2 linked regions of the Anolis sagrei genome follow. The protein of the gene in region 1 purifies or fractionates together with the protein of each later gene. This does not show direct contact. Links are inferred from orthologs where the notes say so. Each region holds a gene or a part of one and is shown on either strand. Other genes may lie near its edges.

Region 1 (7,628 bases):
CAGCCAATTTATCTTAATACAATCACCCCTCTACATTCGGTGGTGGCCCCTCGACTCTGGAACTCACTCCCCAAGGACATCAGGCATGCCCCAACTCTGGCAGTCTTTAGGAGGAGCCTGAAGACATGGCTGTTCTAGTGTGCCTTCCCAGAATAAGGAAACTCCTAGCAATATGTCCCTAAATGCACTTTATCAATGTTCTAGGATTGTCTTCACACCCCTTTCCTCTCCGAAATTCTATCCTAGTTACATATTTCACCTGGTCATGCTCAGCATTATTTTTTTTAAAAAAAATTATTACATTTGGCCCAGCCATAGGTTTTAATGTGTTGTTGTGCTATTGTTAATGTTTACTGCTGTTTTTTGTTTTTGAGTTTCAGATTGTTTGTATTGCTATTGTTGTTTTTGCTGATGTATTGTGGGCTCGGCCTCATGTAAGCCGCACCAAGTCCCTTGGGGAGATGGTAGTGGGGTACAAATAGTTTATTATTATTATTGGGGTAAGATGCACAGGACACCCGCATCTCCGTCTATTAACCCACGTGTTCCCTTCGTTCATCTGGAGAGGCCCTGCTCGTGATCCCACCTGCGTCGCAGGCGCGTTTGGTGGGGACGAGGGACAGGGCCTTTTCTATGGTGGCCCCCCGACTTTGGAACACCCTCCCCAAGGACATCATTGTATTGTTATGTTGTTGTTTTTATTGAGGCCTTGGCCTGTGTAAGCCGCATCGAGTCCTTCGGGAGATGCTAGCGGGGTACAAATAAAGTTAATAATAATAATAATAATAATAATAAATTGAAAAATTGCAAATTTTTTCTCCCCTGAGGGAAAATCTTTCTAGGGCTTTTCTAGGTCCTCCAGCACAACTCTGTGGTCATATTCCGCTGAAAGCTGGCCACAGAAAAGCACTGGAGGACCTAGAGAGTCCTAGAGAGATTTTCTCATGCTGGATCCTCCAGCGTGACTCTATAGTCAACTTCCTAGAGAGAAAATTGTGAAAGTTGGAGTCCAAAAAACCTGGAGGTATTACTATTACTATTATTATTATTGGGGTAAGACACACAGGACCCCCGCAAAAGGTGAAGACAGAAGGGAGCAGAAGGCACTTCCATCTTGTCTTCTGCCTATATCATCACTTGAGAGGCCCCTCCCCCTTCTGGCACTAACGGCTGTTCTGGCCAGAGCAAAGACAGAAGGCAGCAGAAGACACTTCCATCTTGTCTTTACTAATAATATAATATAGTATATTGTATATACATATAATATTTATAATATTATAATGTAATATAATATAATACTAGTAATAATAATTCAATATTATAATTATAATTATATATTTACATTACATGTAATATTACTAATAATACTACAATATAACGGTATTGTGCAATATAGTAATATATACTGATATTGTACTATGCTAATAATATAATATATTGTATGAAAATATATATTGTAAGCCGCTCTGAGTCCCCTTCGGGGTGAGAAGGGCGAGATATAAATGCCATAAATAAATAAATAATAAATAAAATTGAAAAATTGCAATTTTTTCTCACCTGAGGGAAAATCTTTCTAGGGTTTTTCTAGGTCCCCCAGCACAACTCTGTGGTCATATTCCGCTGAAAGCTGGCCACAGAAATGCACTGGAGGACCTAGAGAGTCCTAGAGAGATTTTCTCATGCTGGATCCTCCAGCATGACTCTGTAGTCAACTTCCTAGAGAGAACATTGTGAGAGTTGGAGTCCAAAAAACCTGGAGGTATTATTATTATTATTGGGGTAAGACACACAGGACGCCCGGGAAAATCTTTCTAGGGGTTTTCTAGGTCCTCCAGCACAACTCTGTGGTTATATTCCGCTGAAAGCTGGCCACAGAAATGCACTGGAGGACCTAGAGAGTCCTAGAGAGATTTTCTCATGCTGGATCCTCCAGCATGACTCTATACTCAACTTCCTAGAGAGAATATTGTGAGCGTTGGAGTCCAAAAAACCTGGAGGTATTATTATTACTATTATTATTGGGGTAAGATGGACAGGACCCCCGGGAAAATCTTTCTAGGGGTTTTCTAGGTCCTCCAGCACAACTCTGTGGTCGTATTCCGCTGAAAGCTGGCCACAGAAATGCACTGGAGGACCTAGAGAGATTTTCTCATGCTGGATCCTCCAGCGTGACTCTGTAGTCTACTTCCTCGAGAGAACATTGTGAGAGTTGGAGTCCAAAAAACCTGGAGGAAGGCCCAAGTTGGTCCAGGCTTGCTGTGGAGGTTTCTAAGCAGGTGGCCATCTGTCGGGAGTACTTTGGTGGTGTACTCCCGCGTGGCAATCTCCCAATCAGCCAGATCAAGGCCCTCCTTTGTCCCTGTTCTTCCCAGAGAGTAAAGAAAAGGCGCCAGGAGGGAGAGCGATGGTGCCAGGCCCGGCCTTCCCTTCTCCCGCCCCGTTAAAGGCGTGCGCAGAGCCACCAACGGCCATGCCTGCCTCCATAGCTCGCCTCCCGGGAAATCAGGCGAAAGAGGAGAAAGGCGAAGTTGGCTAACAAGAAGGACAATACCCGCCCCCCCTCCCCCGCCGCATAGGCCCAGCCATATGGTAGCGCCCGCCTCAGGTAAACGGGCCCTTCCATTCTCACCAAGGGGGGCGCGTCCGAAGCAGGCGGGATTTCGACGCCCTCACGCCCTGCCCACCTCTCTCTCTCTCTCTCGTTCGCTCGCTTACCTTGTTTGTTTTCGTTAAGCTGCCGCTCGAACTCGTCGAAGTCGGACATGGCGACGGAATAATAAGACTCAAGCCCGGCCTGGCTCTTCTGCCCGCTTGCTTCACCGCCGCCTCACGCAGTAGGCCGCAACGGCGCCTTTCCTTGAGTTCGGCAACTTCCGGCAAGGGCTTCGGTTGGTTACGGAAAGGCTCGGCTGCGTGCGAAGGCGCGTCTCTACTTCGGTCACTCCCTTTTCGGCTTTTTCCGTAAAGGTTCGTGTGCTGACGGAAATGTTCGGCTATATTCGAGAGAGCCTCCTCTCACGATTCTCGTCCTCGCGGTCGCTCCGCCTCGTCTCACTCCCGCCTGTAAAGCATCTTCGGCTTTTTCCGGAGAGGTTCGGGTTTTTCCTCCCAACGTCACTTCCTCTGCCCGTGTTCGAGTGTCGCATGCTCTTGGCTCCTCCCTGCATTGTGTTATGTTGACAATAGGGAAAGCGAACGATTGGTTCCGGGGCTATTGGGTTTTTCCACCAGACGCCCTTTAGTTGAATGTACAGGGTTAGTCAAAATGCATAGGCCAATAAGCCATTCAATTGAATGGCTTATTGGCCTATGCATTTTGACTAACCCTGTATTGTAGAAGGCTTTCATGGCCGGAATCGCTGGGTTGCTGAGTTTTCCGGGCTGTATGCCCATGTTCCAGAAGCATTCCCTCCTGACGTTTCGCCTACATCAATGGCAGGCATCCTGAGAAATACTCCTGTTTTTTTATTTTAAAGTTTTTTTAATGCTGGTAGCCAGATTTTGTTCATTTCTGAAAGAAAACCATGAAAAGGAACAAAATCTGGCTACCAGTATTTTAAAAACTCTAAAATCAAAATAAAGAGCAACACTCAAAAACAGGAGAATTCCAGACAAGAAACAATCAGGGCCAGCTCACTACCTCTGAGGATGCTTGCCATAGATGCAGGCGAAACGTCAGGAGAAATGCCTCTAACATGGCCCTATAGCCCGAAAAAACCCACAAGAACCTAGTGATTCCAGCCATGAAAGCCTTCGACAATCAGGGCCAGCTTATTACCTCCCAACTAAGAATTCCCCCAGGCAGGAAGCAGCCAGACCTTGAAACTCCAATGCCATTAAATGCGAATCAAGGCGGCCAATTGCAACATCCAGATATATAAACTCAATTTCTCTAGTTTCCAAGAGACCTCACAACCTCTGAGGACGCCTGCCACAGATGTGGGTGAAACATCAGGAGAGAATGCTTCTGGAACATGGTCATACAGCCCAGAAAACTCACAGCAAGGATGCCTGCCATAGATGTAGGTGAAACATCAGGAGAGAATGCTTCTGGAACATGGTCATACAGCCCAGAAAACTCACAGCAAGGATGCCTGCCATAGATGTAGGTGAAACATCAGGAGAGAATGCTTCTGGAACATGGCCATACAGCCCGGAAAACTCACAGCAACCCAGCCCTTTAATTGCTTTGGGTCTCTTTTTTTTTTTGGGAGAAATTTGGACACAAAAGGGAGCCAGTCCACCACGTGGTGGAAGTAATGGAAAATATAATATAAAAATATATAATTTATTTTTATATTCTCCCAAAAGCATTCAGCCTTTTATTTCATTAGCTTAATTCATATTTGGTGCCATTGCTTTTCCCCCAAATGAATTAAGCATTTCCGGTTTCTGGATCTTAGAAGGGCAACTTCCTGTCGTTTATGCTACTAAATGGAGAAAATATAAATTCTCCAAATATAAATAAAATATACATTCCTCCACCACCTCAATCCAACGGATTATTTTAAAAACACCTAACTTCTGCATAATTAAAATATGGAGAACTACAAAGATAGGAGACACCCAAAGGAATCTTGTGCCTTCTGATGGAATAAATTAAGGGTGCATTTATTATTATTATTATTATTATTATTATTATTAACTTTATTTGTACCCCGCGAGCATCTCCCAAAGGACTCGATGCGGCTTACAAAGGCCGAAGCCACAAAACACAATACAATAGAGAACATAACAAGCAATAACAAAACAAATCAAAATCAAAAAGCAAATCAAAATCAAAAATTGGCAAGACAGCAATAACAATACATCAAGACATATTAAAACTGGTTCGGCCGGCGAGAGGGGTACAAGGTTAAAAGTGCTGAAATGATAGGAGGGGCGTAGGGATTAAAGTACGGTGTGCAGTAGTGTTAATTGTGCTAAAGTGCTACTAGGACTTGTAGAATGAATGCAGATTGACACCACTTTAATCTCCACAGCTCCAACCTATGGGATCTTAGATATTGTAGTTTGCTGTAGCCCCAGAGCTCTCTGAAAGAAAAGAAAAATACCTTGCTAAACTACACACCCCAGAATTCCATAGCATTGCGGCAATTCAACCCCACACTGCCTAAGTCTCCAGTCCTCAACGAGGAAAAATTAACTTAGAATAGGCTGAGGGTTTCCTCCCCCCCCCCCCCCCCAAGTCTCTTATATGACAGTTGGAATGTAACTATTTGTGCTCTCCTCTGTTTCTGCTAAAATTGGTTGTGTATAATTTATACTTTTCTACTGAAGACCTTACCTTCTACTTTTACATCTTTGAATATGCTGTGTGTATTGAGATCTTTGTATGTCAAGAGAGATGTAGTGGTTGATGATTTTTCCCTCTCTTTGAAACCTTAGACGAGATGGGTGTTAAGAGTAGCTCAGACCCAGTTCTTTACTTTTAAGAAATATAGTTAAACTTTTTGTGATTTTTTTTAAAGACAAGATTCTGCATCTTTGCATCATAAGTTCTAAATTCCTTGCAGCCACATCACATGGCACTTCATGCTTTGTATTGTCGAAGGCTTTCATGGCCAGAATCACTGGGTTGTTGTAGTTTTTTTCAGGCTATATGGCCATGTTCCAGAGGCATTTTCTCCTGACGTTTCGCCTGCATCTATGGCAAGCATCCTCACTACCTCTGAGGATGCTTGCCATAGATGCAGGCGAAACTTCAGGAGAAAATGCCTCTAGAACATGGCCATATAGCCCGAAAAAATCTACAACAACCCAACTTCATGCTTTGCTTGCTGTGGGCTGATTGCTCAACTTTAAGTATCCTGTTTGTGTTTTGGATGCTCTGCTATATTTTTGGGTAGTTTTCCCTAACAGTATCAAACTGTTGCACTTCTGCAGTGTTGATGCAGCCTTGATCCACAAAAGCTTATGCTACCAATGTTTTGAGTTAGCCCCCATATACACTGCAATAGAATCCAGTTTCAGAATGCAGTTTAACTGCATTGAACGGGGGTTTTTTGAGTCCACACTGCCATATAATGCACTTCAATGCCATTGAACTGCAGTCTGAAACTGCATTGTATACTGTAGTAGTGTATATGTGGCCTTAATCTCAAAGGTGCCATAAGGATCCCTTGGCATGCATATCCTGATTAACTAGGCTATGAATCTCCAAGGATGCCTGATGTATCTTTCATTGTAGGGTGGAGGAAATATGTAGACCTCCAAGTGTTGATTTCAGACTATTCATCCCTCATTGTTGACAGTGTTGGCTGAGGCTGTTAGGAGTTGTAACCCAACAGAGGCTTTGCATTCTTATACGGTATGGATTGCCAGTCACTTCCAAATATGAGCCATTCAGTGAAGTTACAGAAATGCACCTAGTGAAGTTACAGAAATGTTTTGTACAGCTATGTTCCTTTCAGAATATTGTATGTTACCTTCATAATTCAACTGTGATGCCAGGTTATTAATGTTTTCATTTCACAGTTTGATAACTAAATCCGAACTTATCCAAGGATCTCTAGAAAATACATACTTGGCTGTGAATTCCAATCCAATCTCCTTGTTCATTCCCAAAGAGGCAGTGAAATACCAATTTATAGATAAATAGATACATCACAGACATTGTTCACTTTTATTCAAAACACAGTTTAATTTAAATCTTAGTAAATAGAATTTGAAACTTTTTATTTTTTTAAATATTTTTAAACACAAGAGGAAAGGGGGCAGGGTTAAAAATTACAGGCACAGTGGAAACAACCCATTAATTACACTGAATAACAAGAGTGCATTCCCAAAAACCAGAGGCAAACTGATGACATCCTTGTATTCAGTCTTTGTCATACATACCCGCAGTGGTATCTTGAAGACATAAATGTGCAGATCAGCCTCCTCAAATTACATCCTCCAGATACTTTGGACTACAGTCTTCATCATAGTCAACTATTCACCTTGCTAGTGATGGGATTGATAGTCCAAAACACCTGAACAGCCTCAGTTGACAAAGCCTGCACCAAGTCTGTATATGATTAGTGCTCACACAAAAGGAGCAAAAAAAAAAAAGAATGAAAATGACCAAAAATTGGCAGCAAAACAAAGAATCCTGTTTGTGTGCCAGTAATAGGCACACAGAAATGAAAGAAAAAGCCTGGCACAACTATGAGGTAAAAGATATGGGACATGGGCAGGGCATGGGAATGTTTTGGGTCGTTGCAGGAAAGTATCTGGAGACCTCAGAACAGTGCAGTTAATCCCTCCAGTTTTAGGAAGATTAGAGTGAAAAGCCGAAGGGAGAGAACTCTTATAAAGCATCAAAGCAAGGTGAGCAATGGTACCCAGCCATATGCCTTCTCAGGTCTAGTCTAATTACTCAGCTGGCTGGAGAAGACAATGGAATAATGGCATGGTACATGAAGTGTCTGAATCCTCCATCAAGAAACACTTTGTAAGGAGACTAAGTAGTAGGACTAAAAATGTGACCACTGCATCCTCACTTGACGTTATGGCCCTTTGGAAATGCATTTCCCAACTTCTAACTATTTACCGGGAGCCCCCGGTGGCACAGTGGGTTAAACCACTGAGCTGCTGAATTTGCTGACCGAAAGGTTGCCGGTTCGAATTCAAGGAGCAGGATGAGC
Region 2 (7,464 bases), about 60 Mb from region 1:
AGTATATCATTATATATATTATACATTATCAGTAGTATATTTAATATATCATATTATCTCATATTGTATTTCTATTGTATTACATTATAATATTATCAATACATGTATATATAATGTACTATTAGCATAGCAGATTGTTGTTAATTCATTCAGTTGTTTCCGACTCTTTGTGACTTCATGGACCAGTCCATGCCAGAGCTCCCTGTTGGTCGTCACCACCCCCAGCTCCTTCAAGGTCATTCCAGTCACTTCAAGGATACCATCCATCCATCTTGCCCTTGGTTGGCCTCTCTTCCATTTTCCCCAGCATCATTGTCTTCTCTAAGCTTTCCTGTCTTTTAATTATGTAACCAAAGTACTTCATCTTTGCCTCTACTATTCTTCCCTCCAACGAGCATTCAGGCTTTATTTCCTGAAGTATGGACACCACAGTTCAAAAGCATCTATCTTCCTTCGCTCAGCCTTCCCTATGGTCCAGCTCTTCCGTAGGTGACTATGGGGAATACCATTGCTTTAACTATGCGAATCTTTGTTGCCAGTGTGATGTCTCTACTCTTCATTATTTTATCAAGATTGGTCATTGCTCTCCTCCCAAGAAGTACGCATCTCCTGATTTCCTGGCTGCAGTCTGCGTCTGCAGTAATCTTTGCATCTAGAAATACAAAGTCTGTCACTGCCTCCACGTTTTCTCCCTCTACTCCCCAGTTGTCAATCATTCTTGTTGCCATAATTTTGGTTTTTTTTGTTTAACTGCAACTCAGCTTTTGCGCTTTCTTCTTTCACCTTGATTAGAAGTCTCCTCAGCTTGTCCTTGTTTTCGGCCATCAAAGTGGTGTCGTCTGCATATCTAAGGTTGTTAATGTTTCTTCCAGCAATTTTCACCTCATTCCTCAAGCCCCGCACATCACATGATGTGTTCTGCTTAAAAGTTGAATAGGCTGGGTGAGAATATACAACCCTGCCATACGCCTTTCCCAGTCTTGAACCAGTCTGTTGTTCCATGGTCAGTTCTTACTGTTGCTACTTGATCCTTATACAGATTCCTCAGGAGAGGGATAAGGTGATTTGGTATGCCCATACCACCAAGAACTTGCCACAATTTATTATGATCCACAGAGTCAAAGGTTTTAGAATAGTCAATAAAACAGAAATACATGTTTTTCTGAAACTCCCTGCCTTTCTCGATTATAGCAGATTAGTATTATATATTATATTGCACTATATCACAACACTGCAATATTAGTCATATTACATGTAATATATAATATACAGTTATTGTATTATTACATTGTAGTATATTATACCACAATATAACTAATGCACTACGAGTACATTATACTATTAGTATTATATAATATATTGTATTATATAGTAAGCTATAGTATACATGATATAGAATATATTATAGTACAACTTTATTAATATTATATATAATACTAGCGGTCCCCTGCCATGCATTGCTGTGGCCCAGTCTGGTGATCTGGAAAATAAAGTAATGAGAAAGTGTTGGTTTCTAATATATGTAATTTCTTTATGCTTGTGGGTAAACAGTATATCTTGCTGTTTCTTTGCCAGTGTTGATGTGGAGATTGTCTGGTTTGCCTACTCTGGAACATGCAACATTTAATTGTCCTTCTTTAGGGGTCCCTTTCAAATCTATGGTACTATATCTGACATAGACATGTGTGTGTGTGAATTATATATATTTATCTACATCTATGGCTGGATGGCTCTTTGTCAGGAGGGCTTTATGTTTTCTTGCTCTGCTGAAGGGAGTTGGACTGGATGGCCTTAAGGCAGCATTTCTCAACCTGGGGGCGAATTGCGAGGGGGTGTCAGAAGGGTCACCAAAGACTACCAGAAAACACAGTATTTTCTGTTGGTTATGAGGGTTCTGTGTGGGAAGTTTGGCCCAATTTCATTGGTGGGGTTCAGAATGCTCCTTGATTGTAGGTGAACTAAAAATCCTAGTAACTACAACTCCCATATGTCAAGGTCTATTTCCCCAAAACTCCATCTGTGTTTATATTTGGGCATATTGAGTATTCGTGCCAAGTTTGGTCCAGATCCATTATTCTTTGAGTCCACAGTGCTCTCTAAATGTAGCTGAACTACAACTATGAATTGGCGAACACTGACCACAAGATGATTTTATTGCTGCTAGTATACTGTTTGATTGTTTTAATTAGTTATAACTGTTGACATTATATGGTAAATTTGTGTATTGTATATTGTACTGTATTTTGTGAATTGTTAGGCATCGAATTGTGCCTTTTGTAAGCCGCCCTGAGTCCCCCCTAGGGGGTTGAGACGGGCGGGGTAGAAACACTCCAAATAAATAAATAAATAAATAAATAAAAAACTCCAAAACCCAAGGTCAATGCTCACCAAACTCTTCTAGTGTTTTCTGTTGGTCATGGGAGAATTGTGTGCCAAGTTTGGTTCAATTCCATCTTTGGTGGGGTTCAGAATGCTCTTTGATTATAGGTGAACTATAAATCCCAGCAACTACAACTCCCAAATGACAAAATCATAATTTTTGAGTGATGGTCACTCCCTGTGTAGTGAGACGTTTCGTTGCCAAATTTGGTGCGATTTCGTTCATTCGTTCTTTTGTTTTTAAGGTACTCATTATGCACAAAGCATTTTTATATAGATAGATAATAATATGAGATTATATCAGAGTTTGGAATATGACTGAGCTATGAAGAGTGACACAATTTTGGAAGAAACAAGAAATAGAAGGAGGTGGGAAATCCCACTATTATCATCCATGCCCATTCATGCTAAATTCATGGGAAATAACTCAGTGGGGAGCCATTAGGAAAGGCCTGCAGGCCAAGAGCAAGGACCCCAGGCTTGGCCCGCGTGGCTTCTGACAAAAAGCCCGCTTCCTTACCTCACGAGCTTCATGGCGGCAAAAGTGTAGGCCGAAAATGCTTAAGCGAGTGAGGAATAAACCACCAAAAATTGAGCACGGAGACTAGGCCGCGTCCGTTACTCGCTGAGAAGAAAACGCACTCCCAACACACAGGGCGCGCGCGATGAATGAGCGGAAGCTCCGTCTCCTCTTTTCTCTTTCCGGCCAGGGAAGGAGAACGAGAAAAAGGCGGCGGGGGCTGAGAATGAGCGCCACCTGTCGGATAGGAAGGCATAATACAGTAGGGAGAATGGCTAGAGCGCCTGCGCAGAAAAGGAAACGAGAGGAAACAGTATATCTCAGACTCACCTCTATGCTGCCACATAATGCACTGTAACTATAGCACTTGAACATCAGTGAATTTAATTATTTATTCTAATAACCCTATGATTAATTATGTGGATATGTTTTAGGTTTTCAATTGTGTATTTTTTTTGTATTGTTAAGCTTTGGGTCTCTTTTTAAAAAGGTTGTATGCAGGGAGCATACAACCTCGCTGTTACGCCAACTCCACTGGCTACCGATCTGCTACCGGGCTGAATTCAAAGTGCTGGCGTTGGCCTTTAAAGCCCTAAACGGTTCCGGCCAAGCTACCTATCCGACCGCATCTCTGCCTATGAACCCACCAGGACTTTGAGATCTTCCGGGGAGACCCTGCTCTCGATCCCGCCTGCTTCTCAAGCTCAGCTGGCGGGGACGAGAGATAGGGCCTTCTCGGTGGTGGCTCCTCGGCTGTGGAACGCCCTTCCTACGGACATTAGACTAGCACCATCTCTAATGGTATTCTGCAAAAAAGTGAAGACCTGGCTGTTTGAGCAGGCGTTCGAATAATTAGTGCAATGATTGGTTAATGAACACTGGAATGGAAAAATGGATGACGAATCTGGAACATATTTTTGATGACGAGACGACAGTGAATGGGTCGTGTAATGTGTTAGGTTGTTAACTGTTTCTATACTGTAGCACTGAATTTTTGCTGTTCGTATTTGTTGTGAACCGCTGTGAGTCGCCTTCGGGCTGAGAACAGCGGTATATAAGTAAGGTAAATAAATAAATAAAATAAAAAGGACAAAAACTTTAAAAATGACAAATGCCTTCTTGGGCAAGAAGGCATTCATTCCAAAATGATTCACTATTATCCACAATTTTGCATATCCACAAAATGTCTGGGATTAGACTGTGTGGTGTCATGGTTTGAATGTTGGACTCAGACACTGTGAGATCAGGGTTTGGTCTTGGCTCTATCATGGTAACACAAGGAGGCCTCATCTACACTGCCACAGAATGTGGATTGAACTGGATTATATCAGTGTACCAGTGATTCTCAACCTGGGGGTTGGGACCCCAGGAGGGGTCACGAAGGGGGGTCAGAGGGGTCACCAAAGACCATCAGAAAACACAGTATTTTCTGTGTGGAATGTTTGGCCCAATTTTGATGGTGGGGTTCAGAATGCTCTTTGATTGTAGGTCAGCTATAAATCCCAGCAACTACAACTCCCAAATGACAAAATCACCCCCCCCCCCCAAACTCACCAGTATTCAAATTTGGGCATATAAGCTATTTGTGCCACATTTGGTCCAGTGAATGAAAATACATTCTGCATATCAGATATTTACACTGCGAGCCATAATGGTCGCATAATTACAGTTTTGAAGTAGCAACGAAAATAATGTTACGGATGGGGGTCACCACAACACGAGGAACTGTATTAAGTGGTCATGGCATTAGGAAGGTTGAGAAACACTGGTAGACTCATATATTCCAGTTCAATGAGGTTCAATCTGCATTATGAGACTACATTTACCATTATAATGCTGTTCAAATTGGATTATATGACTGTAGATAATTCAAAGCATGTAATGCCCATTATCTGCTTTGAACTGGATTATAACCGGGATTGTGGCGCAGCTAGCTGAGTGTCAGCTGCATTAAGATCACTCTGACCAAAAGGTCATGAGTTCGAAGCCAGCCCGGGTTGGAGTGGGTTTCCAACCAATTGTGTGTAGCCTGTTGTCAACCTTTGCAACCCGAAAAACAGTTGCATCTGTCAAGTAGGAAAATTAGGTACCACCTTAAAGTGTGGGGAGGCTAAATTAGCTAATTTACGAGGCCACAAAAAAGACTCCAGCAAAGCATTCCAGCAAAAAAGCATGCGGGGAATGCGGAAGTACTTCATCAGTGTCACAGATGGACGATGAAAGCGACAGCTCCCCTGGCAGCCAGAAAAAGTTAAATAGCCTCTGTCTATGTCTGTATATGTTTTATTTCTTTCTTTCTTTTGTGTACTTCTACCCCGCCCTTCTCAACCCCCGAGGGGGGACTCAGGGCGGCTTACAAAATAGTAATACAGATAAGATATAGACAGCAATTAAAAACAGTTATAACAGTTAAGAACAATCAATATATATCACAGTCAATAAAAACAATCTTATGCTCAACGTTCGCAACTCAGAGTCCATAGCTTCATTCCACATTTTCCATTCCTATCAATCGTCATTGTCCTTTATTTATCTGCCAGATTGCCCAAACGCCTGGTCCCAAATCCATGTTTTTAATTTCCTTCTAAAGGAGAGGAGGGATGACGATGATCTAATTTCCCCGGGGAGTGAATTCCATATGTAAGGGGCCACAACCGAGAAGGCCCTGCTCCTCGTCCCCGCCAATCTCACTTGTGATAAAGGCGGGGCTGAGAGCAGGGCCTCCCCGAAAGATCTTAAACTCCGAGGTGGGACGTAGAGGGAGATGCGTTTGGACAGATACGCTGGGCCGGAACCGTATAGGGCAGTGGTTCTCAACCTTCCAAATGCCGCAACCCCTTATTACAGTTCCTCATGTTGTGGTGACCCCCAACCATCAAATTATTTTGTTGCTACTTCATAATTGTAATTTTGCTACTGTTATGAATCGTAATGTAAATATCTGATCTGCAGGATGTATTTTCATTCACTGGACTAAACTTGGCACAAATACCCAATACGCCCAAATTTGACTACTGGCGGGGTTGGAGGGGTTGATTTTGTTATTTGGGAGTTGTAGTTGCGGGGATTTATAGTTCACCTACAATCAAAGTGCATTCTGGACCCCACCAAGTACAGAATTAGTCCAAATGTCTCACACAGAACTCCCATGACCAACAGAAAATACTGTTTTCTGATGGTCTTTGGCGACCCCTCTGACACCCCTTGTGACCCCCCTGGGGGTCCCGACCCCCAGGTTGAGAAACACTGGTATAGGGTTTTGTAGGTCAAAACCAGCACTTTGAATTGTGCTCAGAACTGGATCGGCAGCCAGTGGAGCTGACATAACGGGGTGGTATGCTCCCTGTATGACGCTCCGGTGAGTAATTTCGCTGCCTCCTGCTGGGCTAATTGAAGTTTCCGAACAGTCTTCAAAGGCAACCCCACGAAGAGTGTGTTGTAGTAATCTATCCGGGATGTAACAAGTGCGTGGACCACCGTGGCCAGATCCAACTTCTCAAGGTACGGGCGTAGCTGGCGCACAAGTTTTAATTGTGCAAAAGCTCTCCCGGCCACCGCTGAGACCTGGGGTTCCAGGTTCAGCGATTAGTCCAGGATCACTCCCAAGCTGCGAACCTGCGTCTTCAGGGGAGTGTAACCCCGTCTAACACAGGCTGTAACCCTATGCCCTGTTCGGCCTTACGACTGACTAGTAGGACCTCTGTCTTGTCTGGATTCAATTTCAATTTGTTAGCTCTCATCCATGTTGTAAGTCAAATTGGCATTGAATGTTTGCCATATATGTACACTGTAATCTGCCCTGAGTCCCCTGCGGGGTGAGAAGGGCGGGATATAAATGCTGTAAATAAATAAATAAATATTCCAGTTCAATGAGGTTCAATCTGCATTATGAGTCTACATTTACCATTATAATGCTGTTCAAATTGGATTATATGACTGTAGATAATTCAACGCATGTAAGGCCCATTATCTGCTTTGAACTGGATTATATATAATTGAAAATTCATATAATCCAGTTCAAAGCAGATAATGGGCATTATATCTACACTGACATATAATCCAGTTCAAAGCAGATAATCTGGATTTTATATGGCAGTGTAGAAGGATGTATTGTCGAAGTGTAGAAGGAGTTTAGGAGAAAAATCTGAGGGTTTGGATTTGAAATGTCAAATTCCTATATAACCAGCAAACTGCAAAGCTGTTTTTTATTTTCGGAGAAAAATGGTTATGACCATCCATTTTTCCAAACTGGAACTCCCAGAGAATCTACACTGATGCAACACGATTCATTAAATGAAAATATTAATTTTTCACAGAAGAAAAAAATTTAGCCGAGCCAGCCAGGAGTCGAACCTAGAATCTTCTGATCCGTAGTCAGACGCGTTATCCATTGCGCCACTGGCCCTGCCTGACGACCCCTTTTCCCCAATTGCATTCTACATTCCGCCTGCTACGTTTCTAGTGGCTGGAAACAAAACCAGGGGTGGAGTTCTGAGTGAGGCATTTCTTTTTGCCAAGCCGAGCCAATCAAAACGCTCCTTGCTCTTTCACTCCGTTCCTCGTTG

The links. Proteins that work in one complex are often made in the same cells at the same time.
Region 2: the proteins of U2AF2 (region 1) and SNRPD1 fractionate together in Homo sapiens (co-fractionation; 3 studies listed by BioGRID, with this or other methods). This does not show direct contact. The link is inferred for Anolis sagrei from reciprocal best matches to the Homo sapiens genes U2AF2 and SNRPD1.

What each region holds. Positions count from the first base shown.
Region 1 is NC_090026.1:17,873,563-17,881,190, reverse strand, and holds the start of U2AF2 (splicing factor U2AF 65 kDa subunit), read right to left. Parts: upstream 3,067-7,628; 5' UTR 2,765-3,066; coding exon 2,716-2,764; intron 1-2,715. UniProt on the Homo sapiens protein: Plays a role in pre-mRNA splicing and 3'-end processing. By recruiting PRPF19 and the PRP19C/Prp19 complex/NTC/Nineteen complex to the RNA polymerase II C-terminal domain (CTD), and thereby pre-mRNA, may couple transcription to splicing.
Region 2 is NC_090026.1:77,913,506-77,920,969, reverse strand, and holds the start of SNRPD1 (small nuclear ribonucleoprotein Sm D1), read right to left. Parts: upstream 3,094-7,464; 5' UTR 2,914-3,093; coding exon 2,900-2,913; intron 1-2,899. UniProt on the Homo sapiens protein: Plays a role in pre-mRNA splicing as a core component of the spliceosomal U1, U2, U4 and U5 small nuclear ribonucleoproteins (snRNPs), the building blocks of the spliceosome.